Linked DNA regions of Callithrix jacchus. The protein of the gene in region 1 purifies or fractionates together with the protein of each later gene. This does not show direct contact. Links are inferred from orthologs where the notes say so. Each region holds a gene or a part of one and is shown in the gene's direction. Other genes may lie near its edges.

Evidence for each region.
Region 2: the proteins of PRDM16 (region 1) and CTBP1 purify together in Homo sapiens (affinity purification with mass spectrometry; 3 studies listed by BioGRID and IntAct, with this or other methods). This does not show direct contact. The link is inferred for Callithrix jacchus from reciprocal best matches to the Homo sapiens genes PRDM16 and CTBP1.

Annotation. Positions count from the first base shown.
Region 1 is NC_133508.1:40,952,751-40,963,558, forward strand, and holds the start of PRDM16 (histone-lysine N-methyltransferase PRDM16), read left to right. Parts: upstream 1-6,275; 5' UTR 6,276-6,332; coding exon 6,333-6,369; intron 6,370-10,808. UniProt on the Homo sapiens protein: Binds DNA and functions as a transcriptional regulator. Displays histone methyltransferase activity and monomethylates 'Lys-9' of histone H3 (H3K9me1) in vitro.
Region 2 is NC_133504.1:191,920,035-191,930,842, forward strand, and holds the start of CTBP1 (C-terminal-binding protein 1), read left to right. Parts: upstream 1-5,063; 5' UTR 5,064-5,255; intron 5,256-5,259; exon of another isoform or gene 5,260-5,297; intron 5,298-5,509; exon of another isoform or gene 5,510-5,711; intron 5,712-6,251; exon of another isoform or gene 6,252-6,426; coding exon of another isoform or gene 6,427-6,466; intron 6,467-6,701; exon of another isoform or gene 6,702-8,184; intron 8,185-10,808. UniProt on the Homo sapiens protein: Corepressor targeting diverse transcription regulators such as GLIS2 or BCL6. Has dehydrogenase activity. Involved in controlling the equilibrium between tubular and stacked structures in the Golgi complex.

The DNA of each region.
Region 1 (10,808 bases):
CTTAGCTGCCACCGGTGCCAAAAGCCCTAGTCCTCAGAGGTGGGCAGAGGGGTGGCGTGTTCCCTTCTGCCAGCTTTGTGGTGTCTGGGGCGCAGGCCTGGGTCACCATTCCTCCTTCCATCCCTGCAAGCCCCTGGCAGCCCCTGCCTCTTCTCCAAATCTTCTCCACCCTCTGCAGGATTTGGGATGTTGGGTGGTGCCATATCAGGTTCGGGTCTGCATGAAACCTCCAGGCTTCTGGAGACCCAAAGAGACTGGAGAGGAAAGCCCAGGGTGGGCCAGACTCTGCGGCAGGGTTAGGATGGAGACCCCAGGGCGGAGGAGTCGGCCTTCCCTCCTCCTTCACCCAGCGGGTGAGGAGAGTTCCAGGAGGGGCAGGGGACCGGGAGTGAGGGGAGGAGACCCGGACAGGCGGCTGGCTCTGGAGCCCAGGTGGGGCACGCCCTGCCCCGCAGGCCTTTGACCCCGCTCAGCAAACGAGGCCCACGGGATGGGCGGCCTTGGGCCTTCGCCTGGCGGCTTCCATCCAGCCACTCTCCCCAGCCAGCCCTGCAATAACCCCCTGGAGGAGGCAGGCGCGCCTGGCCCCATTTCACAGACGAGGAAACCGAGGCGTGGGGAAGAAATCCACCGCAGCTCGGTCTCCACGGTTTCACTTGTGGGGTATTAATCTCGCAGGGTCAAAGGCAAAATTTGGTTTTCAAGCTAAGAGGGCGGGCAGAGTGGGGCAAGGAGCGCAGCGGAGGGACGGAAGGAGGGGGCCTTGCAAGCCGAATGTGGATTCCCGAGCCAGCCAATTCAGGAAACCCGCTTGGTGACCTGGCCGCCCGCCCCTGTCCTGGGCTCTGGGCAATTGGGGAAGCGGAAGGCGGGATCCCACCTGGCTACTCCCGGAATGCGGCCGCCGGGCCCGGAAGGCTGCGAGGCTCGCTATTTCGTTGCTGCCCACGCGCGGCCAGAACTGGGAGCTGAAGGCAGCGGCCGCGTCCATGCAGGCAGCGTTCTGGAGCCGGTCCGTGCCACCTCCGCGGCGCGCAGCTCCCCGCCGGCCGCAGGACGCGGGCGCTGTGGGTAACGAAGTTGCTCCTCCCGGGCCAGCGCAGGCCGGCGGCCCCGGGGCGGCAGGTGGCAGGAGGGGACCCACTCCACGGCTGCGGGCGCGCGTGAACACACGGCTCAGGGCACACTCAGCGCATCCGGGCAACGGCATTCGTTGGCGGCTTTTTAAAGGTTCTGAGATCAACAGGGAAAGCGTGGGAAACCGATTCCCTGTATCCTTCCAGCGGCCGGGACGCTCCCGGTTGCAGACACCCAGCGGCAGCGCCCTGGCCCAATGTGGGCCGCACACGGGCGGGAGTCGTTCTGCGCTTCCTGCACCTTCTCAGTGAGCCCGGTTAAGCCTGGATTAGGCTCCCTCCTGCCCCAACGGGCGGAGACCCAGGGAGTTCAGGTTCACCATCTCCACCTCTAACAAAACAAAACAAAAACTTCGGGGCTCCAGACACCCCGACACCTGCACAGAAGAGCCAGGCACCTAGTGGGGATGCCGGGACACGAAGCGGGCAAAGGGACTCCACTGGGGTGGCCACAGCATGGTGCCTGCCACGGCCCTGGCAGTCCCCGGAAGCAGCCCATCTGCAAGGGACAAGGCTCCCTCTGCACTCAGAAGACATCGTTTCCACACATCTGGGGTTTGTTGGAAATCAGGGACATGGCTCACATTCCTAGGAAGTTCACTCCTCCCAGTTCCCCAATCTGGGAACAGGAATCAGGTATCGGCTTTGGGAGGCCCCCACCTCTGAGCGCCACAGGGAACCAAGCCCTGCCGCCGTTGGGCCAGAACTGGGAACTGTGCCCTGTCCTCTCCAAGAACTCTGGTGCACAGGAAGATTTCCCAGGCCTGGGGTGGGAGGAAGGTGAAGAGGAGCCCTGAAATATTGACCCCAGGGTCTGGGGGGATTCCTGTGGCCTCATCATCCTCAGGCATGATGCTGGAGAAAGCGCCCACTTCGGGTCATTCCAGAGGCCTGAATAAGGAAGAAATGACCTTTCTGCTGGCCTGTTCTCCCCCACACACCCGCCATTCTAGACCAAGCACAGGCTCCTTCCAGCACTCAGCCCCCATCGAGTCCCCTGCTAGGTGTGGGGTCCAGCGGCCCTCCTCCACGTCCCCTCTGCTTGTGGGAGCCGAGTCACCCATCCTCAGGGCCCTGTGGTCTCCCACCTCCTGCTGCTCAAGTCTGGGAGACATTCCCACCAAGTGTGGGGCAGGAGAATGGGCTGAGAGAGCCACAGCCTCATCCTGGCCTGACTCAGTGGCCCAGGTAATGGGGGTGGGGTGAGTGCTGGCCATCTGGATTCCTCCTGGGGCATTTCCCATCTCCCAGGAAAGCCAGTTGGGAAACTAGAGGATAGGTGCTTCTTTGCTACCCGGAGTTTTTCCTAAAGGAACAAGGTGGGGATGAGGAGTGAGTAAAACTGGCCCTGGAATTCAACAGAGCCTGAGGCCAAGTGTCTGAAAGACTACAGCCAAATTCAAAAAGCACAGAGGACCGGGAGGGAAAGGGATGAGAACGGATGAGGTCAGTCCACCTTGCCAGGCACCCTGCCCACTCCTGCCCTGCACACACAGCCCAAAGCAGGGCTCCCTGGGGCCTGAGGGGCTGCGACGGGCAGCTGGGGCAGCTCTGACCCTGCCAGTTCACACCGGGCACAAAGCCTGGCCAAGCCAAGGAGCCCTCTAGCCCTGAATGCATTTGTAGACTCTGGGAGTGCAGGGCGGGCCCTCGCGGTAGTTTTGCTGCTCAGTGGGTTTCTGGGGAACCCCTGGGGCTTGGGGTCCTCCTACGGCTGTCTAGTAAGACACTTCCTCCAGCACTGCAGGACCAGCATTTCTGGCTTTCGAGCCTGGCCTTTACCCTAAGGAATTCACCTGCTCATGGGTCTCCAGGCACTGGAAGCACTGGGGGTCTGCAGGGCTCGTGGGTAAATGGAGTTTCCATGGGTTCTCTCTCTGCCCAGCCCCAGCAGAAGTCGGAGGTAAAAGCCCCTCTCTAGCCTCCTAGACCCCAGCTATGAAGTTGGTTTTGGAACTTGACAGCAGCATGCCGTTGTCCGGTGTAGGAGCCTCTATGTGGCCAACCCACACTCACTGTCTGGACAAGCCAAGGAGGTCACTGGGAACGAGCCCACCGCACTTACAGTCCCAGCACAGGGTCCCAGGACCTGGCATCAGCCCCAAGGCTCTACAGAGCTGGACTTGGTTTGAAAACTGCCCTCAAACCTTCTAGTATCAACCTTTTTCCCGCTGGGCCTCCACTTGCCCTACTTGTTCCCCAAGCCCCCCAAAGCCCTTGCCAGGCAGGGACACGGAACTGCACCCCAGGGAGGACCTACATCTACCCTTCCCGGTTTCACCCTTTCTCCCCATGGGACTCCTCAACGCCTGACCTGCTCTCCGCTTCTGAGTGTGGCCACGTGGGGGCAGGGCCTGGTCAGACCAGGACGAAACCTCAGCCAGGGCCACCGCCTTGGGAACAGCCTGCCTGGGCTCCTCCAGCACACTGGGAGACACTGGAGCCAGGGCTGCTTGGGCACCTTGTGGGTGGGCTCTCGACCATCTCCCTGGCCAGCCTTTACCAGCAGCAGAACCAGAGAAGCGTGACCCCATCCCTACCCCACAGCTTGGCAGAGGGCAGGGACCAGAGGGCACAGAGTAGTTTGCTCCCACACCTCCCACCCTTCTTCCCCAGGCCCTGCCAACAGTGCCAGGGACAGCTGTCCTGCCCCAGCCTGGCCAGGGTTCTGAGAATCACCTCCTGAGCTGGAGGAGGGAGCAGGGAGAAGGACTGAGAGAGCTGGGGCACCCCAAGAGCACCAGGGATATGCAACCTTGGCATCTGTTGGCAACCTCTGGGGCAGGGGAAAAGGGGGCCTTTGCTGGGCTGCAGGGTGAGGGTGGGGTAAATGACCCTCTCTGCAGGTGGGAGCGCTTCGCAGGCACCACGGTAACTACCCCAGGGCTCCGGAGGCTTCAGGCAGGAGCAGGCAGGAATCTGGGGTGCAGAGTATGGGAGTGACCTTGAGTCCTTCATAGTCAGCAGCTCCAGCCAGGCTGGGCCCACGGTTGGAAGCCTGCCCTTGGCGGGGTTTAGGCAGGACAGAGCCTGTGTTCCTGGGCTCCAGCACCTCCCCTGCACTCGGGTGAGTAGGTTCAGAGCCCACCTTGGCCATCTAGGGCTACAGTGGTGCCCTAGCCTGCGAGGCAGAGCAAGACCTCCAGAGCTGGGTCGGGCGGTAAACACAGCTGTTCTGTGGTCCAGACCCTGTTGAAAGATGGTCAGGGTGTGGGGAGGTCGATAGACCCTCGGAAGGATGGCAGGGACCAGGGCTGTGCCATTGCTGAAGGCCCTTCTCTGGACGACACTTACCTTTTGCCAGAAACAGCCGCAGCGACTAGGGAGCGCTTCCTCCGGCAGGGGCTCCGGCGGCGAGCTGGCTCCAGGACTGGGCACCCTGGACCCGTGAGAGCCGCATCGGGGTTCGAATCCGAGCGGGCAAGCGGTGCCGACTGCGGAGGATCCAGGACAGAAGGCCTGGCGCACCGTCGCTGCCGGCTGCGGCCAAGCCCGGCTCTGCTGGGCTTTTCCTCTGGGGTAGCGCCGGCCCCGCGCCCCTCCCCATCCGGGGCGCCTCTGCTAAGACACCCGGGTCTCAGGGGTTCTCAGGGCCGCTGCGTTTCACCTCCTTTAACGCAGAGGCGTGGAGTTGCACGTGTGGGTCTCAGTGGAGCCGCCACAGGTCTCATTACACAACAAAGGGCAGGGAGGGCACGGCAGGAGCCTCTCGGGGAGGCGGAGAGACCCCCGTACCGCGGGCTCAACCCCTGCTCCGGGCTCAAGCTGACGCTGGGGCAGCTCCCCGACCCGTGGCCGGGCAGGACTTCGGTACTCTAGGAGGGCGCGCGGGGGAGCGACTCAGTCGGGGGAGCGACTCGGTTTCCTTCCAGTTCATTCTCGATTCCCAGATTCTCAGATGAGAAATCGGCACTCAGGCCGCCAGGCTCCTGGGCCGGGGCCACCCTGCGTGCACCCAGCCCGGCCCCTCCTCCGCGGCGCCTCGGAGTTTGGGGGCTGCAGGGGCAGAGGAAGCGCCTGCTCCGCTCCCGCCGGCGCTGCTCCACCTGCGCTGCCTGCCCTTCCGCCCCCTACGCACCTGGGCCCGAGAGCTCAGAGGGGAGCGTTCCCAGAGGCCCGGGTCCCCGAAGGTGGCCCAGCTCCGGCGCTCGCGCAGCCAGTCACTCACCTGGGGGCGCGGCGGAGCTCAGCGGGGGTGCAGCGGCAGGAGCGCGCGGGCGGGTCGATCTGCCGAGGACACCCGGTGTTCGGACCGCCGCCCCCGCGCTGTGCCCCCGCGCGGGGCTTGTTGGACTCCGCAGCTCCGGGCAGGACCGAGGGCGGCGGGTCTGAGTGCCGCCCGCCCTGGGCAGTGGCGGAGCGCGGAGCTGGCGGCGCCTCCGCTGTTGTTTTTGAGCCGCGAAGCCCGAAGCAGCAGCCGTTGGGTGGGGGCGAAGGGGAGGAGGCGGGGGCCCGGAGGCCCGAGGGGGGCGGCGGGGCCCGGAGGGGGCTTCGGAGGAGCCGGGTTCTGGCGCCGGAACCCCGACGCTCCCTCCGGCGATCGCAGGGCGGGGACGGGGGCCGAGGGGAGAGAGTGGACGGGAGAAAAGCGGGCCAGGGCGACGGGGAACGCCAAGCTTTTTAATTAGTCATAAAATGCAGTAAAACGCAGCAAAACCCGCCCGGACCCTCGTCCGAACTCTCGGCGCGCGTGCCCGGAGATCCGAGGAAGTCGCGTGGAAAACCGCAGCCGCCACCCAGTCTTCGGCCCCGGCTGGGGTGCGAGCCGCAGCGCGACCCGACGCGAGGCAGGGGTAGGGTGGGGGGGATAGTCACCTCGCCTCCGGGGCCACCTGGGTCCTTTTAAAGTGTCCGGGGTGCGGGCCCCAGGCGGGAGCGCCCAGCACGGAATGTTTTCTTAAAGGGCCAGTTACGAGCTGCGCTGAAAAGGGGGGGAGAAGGGGGAGAGAGAAGTGAGACGGAGACCGGGAAGGCCGAGGAGAGCCCCCCAATCCCGCGCCGAGGCGGCGGCGGCGGCGCGACGATGAGGATGATGAATACATTGCAAAGTTTTTTTGGCCCCGGCGAGGGGTGTCAGATTGAGTGCTCTGTGCGCATGTGCGAAGGTGTCCAAACTGACAATGCTGGGGAGATGAAGATAGTGTGTGGCTGCTTCTGGACTCAAGGAGGAGGAGAGGGATTCCGCGAGCCGACACCATGCGATCCAAGGCGAGGGCGAGGAAGCTAGCCAAAAGTAAGTCTCCCGCGCTCGGCCGCGCCGCGCCGCCGGGCCCGGGCCGCCGGGCCCGGGCGCCCGGGCCAGGGGTGCGCGTCGGGGCGCGGCCCGCGCGCCTGCGGCTCGGGGCCCCCGGCTCGGCCGCGCGGCCCGGGGGGCTGCTCCGCCTCCCGCGCTCCGGGGCGACCGGGCCCGGCGCGGAGGCTCGGGGCGCCCGGGCCGCGCGCTCCCCGAAGGCGCCGGCCCCCTCCCCGCCGAACCCCCTCCCCCCCAACAGTGTCAGGCGCTCGGGCCCGGGAACCCGAGGCGCGCGGTGGGGGCCGGGGAGGGGGGCGGAGGGGGAGGGCCGGGGGTGGAGGGGAGCGAAAAGCGAAAGTTAGCGAAAAGTTGACGAAAGGGGAGAGCAACTTTTTCCTGCCCGCTCGCTCTCTCCCTCTCTCTCTCTCCCAGTGGCTCTCAGTCCTGGTCAAATCATATTCCGGGCTTTTGAAATAGTGGGCGCTAGAGCACCGCCTTTGGCGTCCGCCAGCCGGGCGCAGAGGAGGGAGACCCCGAGCCGGGGAGGGGCGGAGGAGGGGGCGCGGGCCGGCGCCCACCCGGCTCCGCGGGCTCAGGGGCAGGGGCGGCGACGGCAGAAACGGCCGCTTGGGGAGCAAAATGGAGACTTTTGCCCGGGCTGGGAACTGCGGCAGTGAAGTTTATGCCCCGGCGGTGCCCCGCGTGGTGGTGGAGGGCGCTCCTCGGGGACGCGGGCAGCCCGCGTGGGCAGCCGAGGTGGCCGTGCGGCCGACAGGAGGGTTCCCACCCGCCACCTCCCGACCCGCCGCGACCGCCCTCCGGCCCGCGGGGAGCCTTCCGCACCCGCTTGCCTGGCACAGCCCGGCCCGGCGGCGACTGTCCCCGGCCGCACTGCCTGGTCCTTGGTCTTACTTTCTCTTTCGCTCCGTCTCGGCCGAGCCCCGGGCTCCGCGCGCCCTGCCTGCCGCCAGCCGGTCCCTCCCGCGAGCCGGGTGCTCCCGCCGCCCGCGCCCTCGCCCGCTGCAGCCGCGCCTCCGAGCAGCCCGCGCACACCCCGCGCCCCGGCCGCCGGCGCCATCCGCTGTGGGCCCGCGGGGCCGGGGGCTGCGGCCGCCGAAGCGGGCAGGTGGGGGCGGGCGGCGCCGCGGCCCGGCGAGCGCGGCTCCCGCAGCCCCGAGGATGCCCCGGCTGCAGCGAAGCGGCCAGCGCCGCCCGCTCACGCAGCCCCCCCCCCCCGCAGGCCGCCCGCCCACCCGCCGCAGAGGCGCCCGCGTCTCTCCTCTCGAGGTCCCCGCCCGACCCACGCCGTTCCGTCCGCGCCTCCGGGGCCGGGTCCCGCCAGGCCGGCCTCGCGGCCACCCAGGGCCGAACCCCCAAACGTGAGCCGGGGTGAGCGCGGGGCTGGCGGCGGTTTCCCGAAGCTCCACTCCCTTGGCTCTGGATCCGCCCGGCTCGTCCCAACAGCGGCCCCGCAGCCGTAGGCCCCGCGCTCCGCGCGCTGGGAAAAGCAGCTCCGAGTTGTTCCGGACGCCCCTGCGCTCCGCCGTCGGCCGCCCGCGGCCCCTCGGTGAGGCGCCCCCTCCCCGCCGGGCTCCGCTGCCGGGTGCCCTTGGCCTCGGCCTCCCGTGACCTCTGACCCCTCTTGGTGCGAACAAGGCCCAGCGTTTCGCGACCGACGCGCGCAGGGGCTGTCTGTGCAGGGCGCTGCGGGCCCTCCGCGCGTGGGGTGTGCGTGTGCGTGTTCGGGTTCGGTTCTGCACCGCGGGCCTTCTCAGAGTCTGGACCACCCGGCTGCCTGCGGGCCGCCAGGTCAGGCCCTAGCCCCGGCAGGACCCAAAGCTGGAGTGAGAAAGTGGAAAGCCGCTGCGCTGTCGCCGGGCCTTCGCTGCAAGCGAGAGGCCGACTCGGCGCACCCGCGCGGCCCCGGAAACTTCCGAGAGGCCCCTGCGCGCCCGGCGCCCGCCTGGCCCCAGCTCCCCGCCGGCCCCACCTCTGCCAGGTGGGGAAGGTTGCCGGGGACTGGGTCTGCTCAGGACCAGAACTGGTGTCTGGCGGCCGTGGTTGCCTGGCCCGGAGGCCGGAGAGCGGGGCCCAACGGGAGCGCCGAGCGCTAGCTTCCTTTTCCCGAGAGTCTTTAGTGAGGAAAACCCCTTGGGAGGTGACTGCCAGGCCTCGGCCCTGCGTCCACACTTGGCTGAGCGCCGCAGGGAACCCCTCCTTCCGGGGTCCACAGCTGGGACCGCTGTCCTCAGGGCCCCCAAGGTGGCTGAGCCAGGTACAGATCACATTGCCTGCCCTGAGCAAGGCGGGATCCGCTGAAGAATTTCATTTCATTAGCCGATATTTTAAGCAGATGTTAACTTCCCCTGGGACCACAGTCACTATTACCTGAATTGGAGGCAGTAGGGCCCGCACTCCGGCCAGCCGGTCCTCCCTTCCCCACAATACCGACCAGGTTAGGAAACTGCGGGGTGGGCCAGGAGCAAGGTCACGGTTACCAGGCTGGTGTTCAGCCTGGGTACAGAAAACAACCAGGCCAGCGGAGGTGACTCCATGACCCAGCGTTTCGGGGGCCACCCCGGCGTGTGCATCTGGGGCTGTAATTTCGTTTGTGTTTCTCTGGAGACCCCCATCCAGGCCTCAGCTCAAGTGGGTCGCTCCTCCTGGTCCTATGAGGGGCTGAATGGTAGCAGCTCTGGGGGTGACCAGGGCTCCCAGCTGAGCTTTCCAAGGACAGAGGTGGCCACGGGGGTATTCAGGCTGGGGCTGTGGCTCAGCTGATGGGAAACCCACAGCCTCCTCCACCTGAGCCTGGGGGCTAGGAGCAGAATAAGGACAGTTCAAGGGACAGGGTCCCCCTACTGAAGCCAGCTCCTTGCAGTCCGGTGATGAAGTGGCCTCGGTGGCCCCAGGTTTACAAACTAAATGCCTAACAAAAGCTCATTGTTTCCAGGGCTGTTTTGATTCAGGTGGGCAGGTGGGGTGTTAGCACCACCAAGATACCCTCCCAACTGTCATCTCCGCCAGTGCTGGGGGGGCCCTCTGTGCAGGTGGAAGATGTGGCCTGGGAGAGGGTCAGCCAGCGCCCCCATCAGAGCTGCCCCTTGAGGCCTGAGCCCCATCTAGGTGACAGACCTGGTCCTAGACGCTGCATACCCCAGGGCTGGGGGAGTGTCCGCTCCAGAACTGCCATCTAGCCCCTGGGGTGGGGGAGCGGCAGCCCCCCCCCACCTGCTGTGGGACTGCGAGTGTCTTGCTTGTGTTTGAGGGTGCTGTGTGTGGAAGGTGTGCTTGAGACAGGGTAGAGGTGAGTGGGGCTGGAGGCCCAGCTCACAGCCTCCTTCCTTCTTCCTGCAGAAACAGGCCCGGCTGGCTGGGCCGTCCCTTCTCCCACCCTCCCTGGGGAAATTAGTCCCTTATTCTAGTCCCCTCTCAAGAGCCAGGACGGCTGCCTTCTATCAGGAGGCCGGTTAGGGCAGCAGCGCCAGGAAGCCTCCGGCAGAGTCCAGCGTCTTGCCCCGCTTCGGACGAAAACAGAGGCCGCGGTGGAGAGTGGAGGGGTGGAGTGCAGGGCTGGCCGCCAGGGCCTGATGCCCCGCTGCAGTGGACTGTGCCGCCGCAGGCCCTCCCTCTGCTCCCGGCGGGCAGGTGTGCTGTGGCTCCGAAGCTGGCAGGAGGGGGCTTGCCAAGCTGGCTTGTGGAGCAACTGCTGGGTGGGCTTCTTGGGGACAGGCGCTGGCCTTGCCCTGGGCTCGCCGACCACCAGACTCCCACCCGGGGCCGCCCTCCTTGTCCTGTGAGCGGCACTCCAGAGCAGGTGGCACTCAGCCTCCTGGCCCCTCCTGGCCCCTCCTGGCCCCTCCTGGCTCCAAGGCTTCCTCGGCTCCTGAGTCCTCCTCTGGGCAGTGCGCAGGGCAGGGGACCAGGTCTGCCGTTTCTGCTGGGAGGCTGGGTGATGGTGGCCGGGCAGCCAGGGGCTTCCCCCCACCGGGACCCTCAGGGGAGGCCAGGCTGGTGGCAGCTTGCTGGGCTGCGGAGGGCCCGATTAGCCCCCTGTTTTATTCAATTAGGAGGCAATTAGGGATCCTTGGGGGGCTGGGGCTGGTAATTAAGGTGATGTATAATTAGAGTTTCAACAAAAATTATCCAGGATTAAAAATCTTTTGAATAATTTCGTTTAAAAATTTCAAATAGCGTTAAATACAATTTATCAGGTTTTGAATCAAACCCGTGTAACAAGTCTTGGAAGCTGCAGCTCCCGGCGCCCGCGCGGGAGGACCGGGAGCAGCTCGGGCGACTTCCCCGTGCGGGAAAGAAACTTCGCAGCGAAGCCAGCTGGCTGGGGCCTCGCCGTGGCGCAGACTCTGGCCGCCGAGGACTGCAGACTGCGGCGGCCGGGTTGGGGAGCGGGATCTGGGGGCCCCGGGCCGGCCGGTGGT
Region 2 (10,808 bases), on another chromosome or scaffold:
ATTGCTTGCCTTTTATCATTGTAATTGATAAGGCTGCTTTCATGAGAACTGCTTTTGAAGTAATCTGAGTGGTTTTCTTTTTCACTTTAACATTTCTTTTGTATTCTGCAGTTTTACTCCTAAATGTAGAAGTGCAGTTTCATTTTTTACCCCTGGCTCGAGTCTCACAGCATTCCTGAATCTTATCAGGGAATGATGAAAAAATCCCACATTTTTCATCAAGTATAGAACTTTCTTAGTCATTATCTTTATAAATACTGCTGCTTCCTCATTCTTCTAATCGTTTGGAATGAAACGCTAATCTTTGGGATCTCCTCATTCTGTCATCATGCTCTGCCTCGCACGAGAAGAAACTTCTGCATATATCACAAATTCAGTTTTCAGCTAGGTCTAAATTGCTTTTTAACTCATCCATTGAGTTAATTTTAGCAGCACAGTTTTGGGTTCTAGGTATTCCATTGAGTTCTTCAAAACTGCCTATTCTTCCCCAACTCCCTTGGAATCGTATTCTTGTTCGTTTCCTTCTTTTATTCCTGTAATGCTTAACCATGAAAACATGCGTAATTAATGTTCTCTTATTTGCTCAGTTTACCTTCGGAAGGCCTTTGGCGGAGGAGTCCATTCCTGCTGTTCACACATCTGCTGACTTCCCTCCTGTGGCTCTTTCTTTGCGTGTTTCGTTCTTTATGATTGTAAACTCATCTTCAGTGGGCTTTATGGGTAGGAGTTGGAGGGGGCTAGATTGAGAATGTCTATGTGATTTTACTTCTATCACTGTGCCTGCTTCTGTCATGGGCTTTAAGGGTATTACTGGCCTGAGCTCAGGTTTTATATCAAGTTATTTGCTGCAGGGGTGGTAGGGTCTGGACTGTGAAACCTGTGAAAACTCAATACCTAGGCTGGGCATGGTAGCTCATGCCTGTAATCCCAGCACTTTGGGAAGCCAAGGCAGGAGAATTGCTTGAGCCCAGGAGTTCAAGACCAGCCTGGGCAACACAGCTAGACCGTGCCTCAAAAAAGAAAAATTCAGTCTGGGCGCGGTGGCTCACGCCTGTAATCCTAGCACTCTGGGAGGCTAAGGCAGGCAGATCAAGAGATTGAGACCATCCTGCACAACATGGTGAAACTCAGTCCCTACCAAAAAATACAAAAATTCGCTGGGTGTGGTGGTTTGTGCCTGTAGTTCCCAGCTATTTGGGAGGCTGAGATGGGAGAACTACTTGAACCTGGGAGACAGAGGTTGCAGTGAGCCAAGCTCACACCACTGCACTCCAGCCTGGCAACAGAGCTAGACTCCATCTAAAAAAAAAAAAAAAGAAAAAAGAAAAAATCAATACCTGACGTCTAACGAGGCTGTGAGCCCTGATTATCAATTGTCAACAGAACTTTCTGTCTCACAGAACCACAACAGGCAAGCCAACATGGAACCATCGTATCGTCTCCTGTTCCTGTGGGCACACAGCTACTCGTTCACATCTCTCCTGAAGGTGTAGCCCTTTGAGTGCCCTTGTTCCAGTTCCTGCTTCATGTGGGTCCAGGGAGGCCTCATCTCCTTTCCCATGTGAATGTCAAGACGTAGACCCTGAGGCTCCAGACCAACACTCTGCTGGGCAGCTGCCCTCAGGCTCTCACACTTCAGGACCCGGTTTTCAGTTTGTCTCTGGCTCCCGGCACGTCCCTGACCTCCTTGTGAGCTCAGCTCTGCATTAAAAGTTTGTTGTTTCTGTGTTGTGTTCACAAGCTCTGTCCTGGGAGGCTTTTGGGGTCTTAGCACCACAGGGAAAGACAGAAGTGGAAATCTGCTTTTGCACTATTTCTAAGATGAATTTCTAGGCTTGTCTTCAGAACACTTGCCATCCCCCTCTGCTCTGGCTTGAATGACTGTCCTCTCCAAAATTCATGTAGAAGTTTGATTGTCATTGTGACGATATTAATAGGTGGGACCTTCGAGAGGTGATTAGGCCCCGAGGCCTTTGCCCTCCTGAATGGGCTGGTGGGCATGTTATAAAAGGGAGGGTTCAGCCCCTTCTGTTTCTCTCTCTTGCTCAATCATCCTTCCTCTTTGCCCTTCTGCTATTCTGCGACGTGATGACGCCACAGGAAGGCCCTGACCCCTGACGCTGGACCTCCCAGCCTCCTGAACCGTAAGCCAGCAAGTTTCTCCACACTCTAAGTGACCCAGTCTGTAGGAGCCTGTTACAGCAGCACGGAACGGATGAAGACATCCTCTGTATCGTTTTGCAATCCCACGAGACAGGCGTTCTTTTGCATCACTGATGAAACTCGGCCCTGGAGGGCTTAAGTAACAAGGCAGGTCTGTCGGCTTCAGTTCTCGGCTCCCCTGGGCTTCGTGGCGCTTCACAGCTCGCAATCCCCCTGCAGGGCAGATGTGATTTGTCCTCCCATCTTGTGGCTGAAAAGCAAGCCTGTGGCACTTAAACAGGTTACGTGGCAGGTTTCAGCCATTGTACTAAAACATATTTTGGGTAGAAGATGTGGTGTGTATACGCGATGGCTCAGCGGTCAGCCTTAACAAGGAGGACAATTCTGCCACGTATGACAATATGGATGAACCAGAGGGGCATTAAGTGAAAAAGCCAGGCACAGAAAGACAAACACTGCATGATCTCACTTACAGGTGGGATCCACAAAAGTTGACTCACGGAAGCAGAGGGTAGAATGGTGGTTATCTGGGGCCGGGGCTGGGGCTGGGTGGAGATGCTGGTCAAGGGATACATTTCAGCTACATGGAGGAATACGATCAAGGGAGCTATAGTGGGACTTGGTGACTTTAGCTAATAACATGGTGACTATAGTTAAGAACAACATATCTTGTGCTTGGAAATTGCTAAGAGTAGATTTTAAGTGTTCTCACCATCCCAAAAAACAAGTATGTGAGTGAATGCATGCTAATTAACTTGATTTAGCCAGTTCACAATGTATACATAAGTTAAAACAAATTGTAAACAATCAATGTATACAATTATTATGTGCCAATTAAAATAAATACATTTAAAAATATTTTAGGTATTTGTCCATTTTTGTTTCAAGTTTACTTGTTCATCATTTTAGTATGAAAAATTTTTTTTTTTGGCTGGGCGCAATGGCTCACACCTGCAATCCCAGCACTGTGGGGGGGCCAAGGTGGGTGAATTACCTGAGGTCAGGAGTTCAAGACCAGCCTGGCCAAGATGGTGAAACCCTGTCTCTACTAAAAATACAAAAAATTAGGGGGGTGTGGTGACGGGCACCTGCAATCCCAGCTACTAGAGAGGCTGAGACAGGAGCATTGCTTGAACCCAGGAGGCGGAGGTCGCGGTGAGCTGGGATGACGCCACTGTACTCCAGCCCGGGCAACAAGAGCGAAACTCTGTCTTAAAAAAAAAAAGACGACTGTTTTTTTTCTTCCTGTGTGTACATGACTGACAACCCAGTGGTTTCCTTTAATACCTTATCAACATTTCCAGGCACTTTCTGTATTTGAGGTATGTGAATAGGGTGGCCCTCGTCTTGAGCGTGGCACTGAACTGGAGGCCTTTGGCTACACGCCGGAAGCTCTGGGTACTGAGGAGCTTGTCCCCCACTCTGTGCCAGGAATCGGAACGGTGGCCTAGGAGAGTTGGCAGAGGAGGAGGAACCAGACGCAGTGAACTTCCTGGTTTGTCCCAGTGTCAAGCAACTTGGCGTTTTTCTTTCACACGTGGCTGGAACAGAGGAGACTCACAGAAATATCTTCGTTGAATAAATAGAGTCCATTGAAATGGAGTCACATGAAGCAGCATTCATCCATCCAAAACGCCAATGCTTCCTTAGGGTGGGCTGAGTTTTACCCCAACACTAAGTTGTCTCATGTGATGGGCAAAACGACTCACGTGGAAACTGAGGCTGGCTGGGGGAATCCAGGCCTCTGGCATCCTCACCAAGGTAACTCTTGAGCAGCTCCCAGACAGCCCATTGTGTAGGGCAAACACCAGGAGCCCCTCCTGTGTGCAGGTACATGGCAGGCTCAACCATGGCCAGAGGGCAGGCACATGCTCGGCCAAACCCTAGAGGGTGGTGGGCATCTGCTCATCACAGGGGAGGACGGGAGGTGGGAGAGGCAGGTGGGCCTGTGGGGGTTGGGACGAGCTGTGCACATGGCTTGGCACACCCAAAGCTGAGGTTTCTCCTTGGGCAACACAGTCACATGTGAGTGTAGGAATCTCGGCTGGAGTTGCCCAACGTGGGGAGCAGACAGCACTGTAGCCAAAACCGCAGCTGGAGAATGCAGTGCTTGGAACAAGCCAAGCCATTGGGACGGGGCTGGGGCCAAGTAGACATGATAATGCACTAACGAGCAGTGCGGGGGGTAGGCTGTGGAGCGTGATCCTGGGGGAGACGCTGGATCCCTGGCTGGCCTGCATTGCTCTCCAGAGCTTTTAGCTGCCTGTGGAATTCCAGGTGCTCTGCTCCAGCTACTTTCAACGTATAAGCAGGAAGTGGATGCTGGAGAGGAACTGCTCTTCTGGACTGAGCTTGCTGCTCATGGCAGCCCCACCTACAGGGCCCAAAGCCTTATTGATGTTCCTTGCACCTTCCACCACGTGGCTGCCTCTTGAGCTCTGCAAGTGCACCACAGAGCCAGGAATTTCTCCCCAAAAGCCTCTCCATTTTACCCACGACCCCCCAGTAAATCACAACCTGAGAATAGAGTGTCTGCGACCCCCCTGTCCCCAGCTCCCCTGGGGGCAGGGGTTGGCACATCCCTGTGCCCGGCCACTTGCTGCCTCCTCCTGGGCTGCTGGTCCATGCCCAGTGGACAGGAAAGCCCAGCGAGGTCCCTGCCTGTGCACCCCGCCAACCACACTGTCCCCTCCCGGCAGCCTCACCTAGGCCCCTCCAGTGGCGGCCCCTTGTCCCCTGCACCCATGCCTGGCCTTGGAAGTTGCTGCTCACTTTTCTGGAATATTCTTTTCTTAGATCTCTGCAGGACTGTCCCTACCCCTACAAGGGCTCCACACATGTTCCCTCCTTCATGACTCCCACTGGGCTTCCCCGGCAGAGCCCCATGTCTCCAAAGCTCTGGTGACACCTGCCAGGCTTCCTCCAGGCCACAGCTCCGCAGCGCGCGTCTGAAAGAGAATAGGAAGTGGCCCGCAGGGCAGGCTGGCTGAGGGCCCCAGCACTGTCAGCGGGGTCTGAGGTCCTCCCAGCCCTGAAGGGGAAACTGGAGCTTCTCAGGCCAGCCCAGGACGCGTCCTCAGGAACCACAGCAGGTGCCTGGCAGCGGAGAGGAGTCTGCGTCTTTCAGGATCCATACTGTTGTATCCGAAACTATGCAAACACTTCGGGGTGCTCAGAGTAGCCCCGCAGAGGCCCTCCCCACGGGGCGGAGGGAAGCGTCCACTCGCTATCCCTGGGCCCTTGGAGAGTCCGCAGAGGCAGCCCCTGGGGGAGCAGGCCGGGGTCTGGACGTCTCCTGCAGCGGGCGGGGCTTTGCTATTAATCCTTAACCCAAATTATGGAAAGAGGAGCTGAGCTGCCAGGACGCCGGTCGGCTACAAACCCCACTCTTGTTAAAGACAGAGGGGGTCGGGGAGGGGGTTCTCCGGCCCTGAGCTTCCCGGGCCTGGCAGAACGCGGCCCCTCCGGGAGTCCGGGTCCCCGGGCGGGGGAGGCACCGGGGCGAGCGCGCTTCTCCCGGGGCCCCGAGTGCGGCCGGCTCTCGGACGGTAAATTCAGGGCCCGGGTGGAGGCGACGGGGTCCCGCGGCCTCGGTGACCCTGGACAGCAGCGGGAAGAGCGGGACCGCAAGGACAGGCTCCCCGGGGGCGCACGGACCCCGCCGCGCACCGGCTGCAGGGCCAGGCCGCGGGCCGAGGCGCGAACGCGGGAGGCGGCGGCCGGAGGGGCGGGAAGGGAGCGGGGCGGCCCCGGCGCGGAGGAGCGCCATTTACGTTCCGGCCCGCGCCGGGCGCTGACGTGGGCGGCCCGGCCCGGCCGGCGGCGCAGTCCCGCAGGGGCCTCGGGGTGGACGGCCCGACCCTGCCCGTCTTCCTCGGGGACGGGCGGTTTAGAACGTACAGAACTCCGGGCCCCGGGGCTCCGCCGGGCTGCAACCCCGACCAGCTTCCCGCCGGGCTCCCGCCCCGCCCCGCGGCCGCGCCCCGGCCGGGCGGGCCCTGAGCCGCCCGCGTGAGTCCGCCCGCCGCCCGCGCCGGGAACCAGGAGACCAACCGCGAGGCCCCGCCCGCGCGCGCCGCCGTGTCCCCGCCCGCGCGGTCGTCCGAGCGCGGCTCAGCGGCGCGGCGGAGACTCGGCACGGCGGCGGCCAGGCGCAGGCGGGCGGGCGGAGCAGCGGACGGCGCCGAGGCCGCCCCAAGCGCCGGGCTCGCGGCGGCAGAGCGCGCCGGAGTGGTCGGGGCCCGCGGCCGCCCGCGCCTCTCGATGGGCAGCTCGCACTTGCTCAACAAGGGCCTGCCGCTGGGTAAGGCCGCGCGCGCGCGCGTTTCCGGCCGCGGGCGGGGGCGGGGCGGGGCGGAGGCCGCGCGGGCGGGGGACGCGGGGGCGGGTTGAGCGCGCGCCCGCAGGCCGCCGGCTTTGTGTGCGAGTGCGCGTGCGCGCTAGCGCCCGCGCGTAGCCGCGACCGGGGGCGGGACCGCGGGAGGGGTGGTGCGCATGCGCGGACGGCTGCGTACCGGTGCGCGTGCGCGAGCGCCGCTGTCCGCCCGCCCCGCCCGCGGCCCGCGCAGGTGACACAAAGGGGCCTGCGGGCCTCTTGGCTGCCCCGCGGGATCCCCCGGCTCCACTGGCCCTAGGCCCTGGGGACCCGGGACGGCCCCCTGAGTCCCGATCCCCGGCCGCGACCCAGTCCCCAGTCATGACCCCGCGGCTGGGCCTGCGGGGCTGAGGTGTGGGGTGCGCCCTGCGCAGCTCGGGACGTCCTGGGGCGCGCTCCCTGGGCCACTCGCGGGAGCGCGCCCCGCCCGCCCGGAGACCGCCGGCTACGGTGGCGGCGCGCTGTGGGGAAAGAGGACGGGCCCCGGGCGCCTGGTCTGACCGCGGAGGAGGCCGCCACCCTGAGACCGGGCCCAAAGCGCAGCCCCCGGCTGTGACGCGGGAGGGCCCGGGGGTCTCCGTCCCCGCGAAGTCCCGGACCCGCCCGGCGCCCCCACCTGCTCGTGCCTGGTGCCGCCCTGGTCCTCGGGCGCCTTCCCCGCGGGCTGCGGAAGCAGGGAGCTTGGGCGGGAGCCGGGCCCGCAGGCATCGCCATCTTGCAGTGCCCGCGTTCTGGGCCGGCCCGGGCCGCTCCGCGGAGCGTCTGCCCCCACCTCCGACTCGGCTGCAAAGGCAGAGCCCGTGCGCCTGAGCCGCGGGCCGGGGCCGGAGCCCTGCTGCTCTAGTCTGTGTGATTGCCCGGACAGAATCCCTTCCAGTGGGGAAGAGGGAGGGCGGGCGCGCTGTTCCCGGTGCTCCGAGCTGGGGAGGGGAACCCTGAGAGCCGGGGTTACAGGGCCCGGCGTCTGGCCGAGGCGGCGGGTGCGCAGGGTGCCCCGTCCAGCTCCGTGGAGCACGGGCCCCCCGAGTCCTCTCCACCGTTTGCGAAGGAGCTCGGCAAGGGGCGCACGTTCCTCAGGGAAAGAAAGGCGCTGGCGGCTGGGCCCGCACCTCGGCTGTCCCCGCTGAGCTAGCGCGGTGACCCCGGCCTTCCCGGCCTTTCCCGGCCAGGGGGTGGCCTCTGCGCGTCCGCGTCTCCAGCTGCGACTTGGGACGGTGTTGGGGCAGCACCGTGGGGAACTATTTGCCGTTGCAGCTGAGGATGACAGCTGCGGTTTGTGGGACCCCTTTCTCTGTCCTGGAACCTCGTTGGGCGTGGCTCTGCCCTGGGCCTCAGCAGCAGGCCTCCCGGGTCTCCCCTGCGGGCCCAGGCCTGGCCACCACCTTCTGGGGTCCGGGCTTGGCGCCTGGTTGCTGCTGTCGGCTCTGCAGACGCCTCTTCCTCTCTTGGTTCTGTCGTCCATTTTTGAGCACCTGCTTCTGTCCTCGGGTCTCCAGAGCTCTGGAAGGGACATGCACCCGGGGCCGCGTCTAGTCACTCCTGGTGGTGCCTCGTCTGCCTTCCTGGCCATTTTGGGGTGTCTGCCATGTCCCCAACGTGCACTTCATCCTGTCAGCTTTGACAAGAACAGTGATGAGTTCTGAGAGGTGGGCGTGTGGTTGGGGATGTCAGTGTGGGATCTTCCCTTCTACACGTTTGTCATTAATCTGAGGATATAGCAGTAGGGGGGGGCGGGGGGGGCTTGGCCCCGGGTGCACAGGACGGGGACTGGTCTTGTCCCTGTACTCAGTGGGCTGAGCCTGGGCCCAGTCCTGTGGGCTTGGGCTGCCCCGGCCAGGCTGGCCCTTCCTGCAGTGCTCTGTGCCCTGCTGTGCCCTGGTACTCCCCATGCAGTGCCCGAGTCAGCATGTGCCCTGTGGGGTGTTTACCTCGGGTGACTCTCCTTCCAGAAGAACTTGTTTTCCACTCCACTCGGGGCTGGAGAGGCTCTGTGTAGGTGGTGCTGATGGGGTGCAGGCTTGGCTCAGGGCCCAGGGGTGGCCAGGAGGTGGTGGAGGCTGCAGGGGCTGCTGTGGGGGTTCTGTGGTTGAACTGCATAGCTTGAGGGAACACTGGTCAGAGCGCAGGGGTCCTCTGGTGGGCAAAAGCTCTGTGCGAGGAGCCTCTGGTCCCCCGGGTCCTCCATTGTCTGCTGCAGTGGCCAGAGCCCACTGCTGTCCTCCCCCCGACTAGGTCGGGGTAACCTACAAGGTGCCACCTATGTCACTTGACTGTCCCTTCCGGCAGCCCTTCAACCACACACTTAACGTGGTATCTCCCATGAGAAAATGTTCATTTTTTCCTGTGAATCCAGAAATCTCTTAGATTGTTCTTTGTCAAGCCAAACACTGACCTTGAGTTGTCCCTCTGGGTGGCCCCAGGCGGTGCCAGCTTGTAGGTGTTGAAGGAGAGGGAGGATGGTCCAGAGGAAGCCCAGTAGGTCCAGGGTTGGTTTGGATGGGGAGGTTTTGGGGCTGTGGCCCTGAGAGGCGTGGGACCAGGCCCCTTCTGCACCCTCCCCTGGCACCGCCATCAACTCCCCAGGCCTGATGTGGCCCATGCCGCCCTGGCCTGCCGCCCATCTGTGGTATGCGGGCTGCTAGGCTGCCCCGTCTGCCTGGCTGGTATGAGCCTGAGGCATCTGAGACTGCCTCTCAAGCAGTATGGTGTGTAGAATGTCCTGTTGGGAAGGCCAGAAAGGGGGTAGCCCAGCTGCCCCACACGTGGTAGGAGCTGGGAAGGTGGCGTTCTGGGGGATCCTGGAGTTCACAAGGTGTCTGCATGTGCTTGCTGAATAAACATGGGAACGTGCGAATCCACGGAAGTCCTGGAGAGGAGTCTCGGTGGCAAATTCGTGCCTCTGATTACAGCTCCTACTCTGCGATCTCTGAGCTGCGATGTGGCCCCACAGGCCCTGTGGAGCACCGTGGCTCCCTGGCTCACAGGATGCTGTAGTCGGAGGTGCTGCGTCGGCCCATGGGTGGCAGGCGGTGTCTGTCTGGGGGAAGTTCTGGTGGCCCCATGCTGCTGTGGGGCTCCCTCTTGGGGGACTGGCCTTCTCTGTTATTACAGGGCAGGGACTCAGTCCCCTCGGGGCAGCAGGTGGCTGCATCTTGGGGCTGGAGGGCTCTGGGTCAGGCTGTGTGCAGCCTTTGTCACTGTCAGCCCCTGCCTGGGCAGCTCAGCCTGGACAGCCAAAGGCGGCATCTCACCAACGCCCAGGTGGCTGTGCCAGGGGACTCACGGCAGGACAGCTTTGTCACGAGAAGGCCACTTGGGGCAGTGCCAGACTTTTAGCCCAGAGGCATCAGGGCTTATGGGGACAAGGCAGGGTGAGGGCTGGCGAGACTGCCAGCCCAAGGGTGCCCTTCTGGAGGTTGGGGAACGTCTTCCTGGGCAGCAGCTTTAGTGGCCTCTGTGGGGAGGGGGAAGAAGATGGGGTTGGTGAGGAAGGGCCTTGGGGACTCATTCTGGTAGAGGCCGTGGGGGAGGGCAGGGGACTGGTTGGCCTAGCAGGGCTGGAGGGACTTGGAGGGTTGGTGGCTGCTGAGGCTGGGTCTCAGCAGGCCGGGATGGGGCCAGGCACTGAGACTGGGGAAGGAACAATGCTGTTGTGGTGAGTTTGGACAGCTGAGTCCGACATCTCATCAGAGCTGCAGGAGGAGAGAGAAGCCAGCAGGGGACCCCCAACCCCAAGTCCTACCTGAGGGGACTGGCGCAGCCTGGGCTGGAGATGACCCCAAGCAGGTGCTTGGTTCTGGCGCATCTTGGGGTCTCCTGGGACTTCCTGCAAACCCAGTGCCCAGAGACCTTCTGTGGCTGTCCGGCGGGGGGGCAGGTCCCAGCCTGTGGTGACCCCGGTGTGCAAGGAGCTACCCTGGTCCCTCTCCAGAGTGGACTGATGCCCGTTGCACACGTGACTTAGGGCCGAGGGGGCAGGTGTGGCCAACAGGAGGAGGATCCAGAGACGGCTTCGGCACGTGGTCTGGTGGCACTGGGGTCATCAGGCCGCCCCTGTGCAGCCTCCTGGGACTTGATGCCTCCGGAGACCCTGGGGGTTGTTGCCTCTCACCTTAACCTCGTTTTCTTTAAAAGAAATTTTTATGTTAGAATAGTCTGAGATTTGCAGGAAAGTGAGGAAGCTAGCACAAGCTTCGGGTGCGCCCCACACTCAGTTTCCCCTGAGGGTCCGTTCAGGGCTTTCTTACAATGTGAGGTTAAGTGGAAGGAG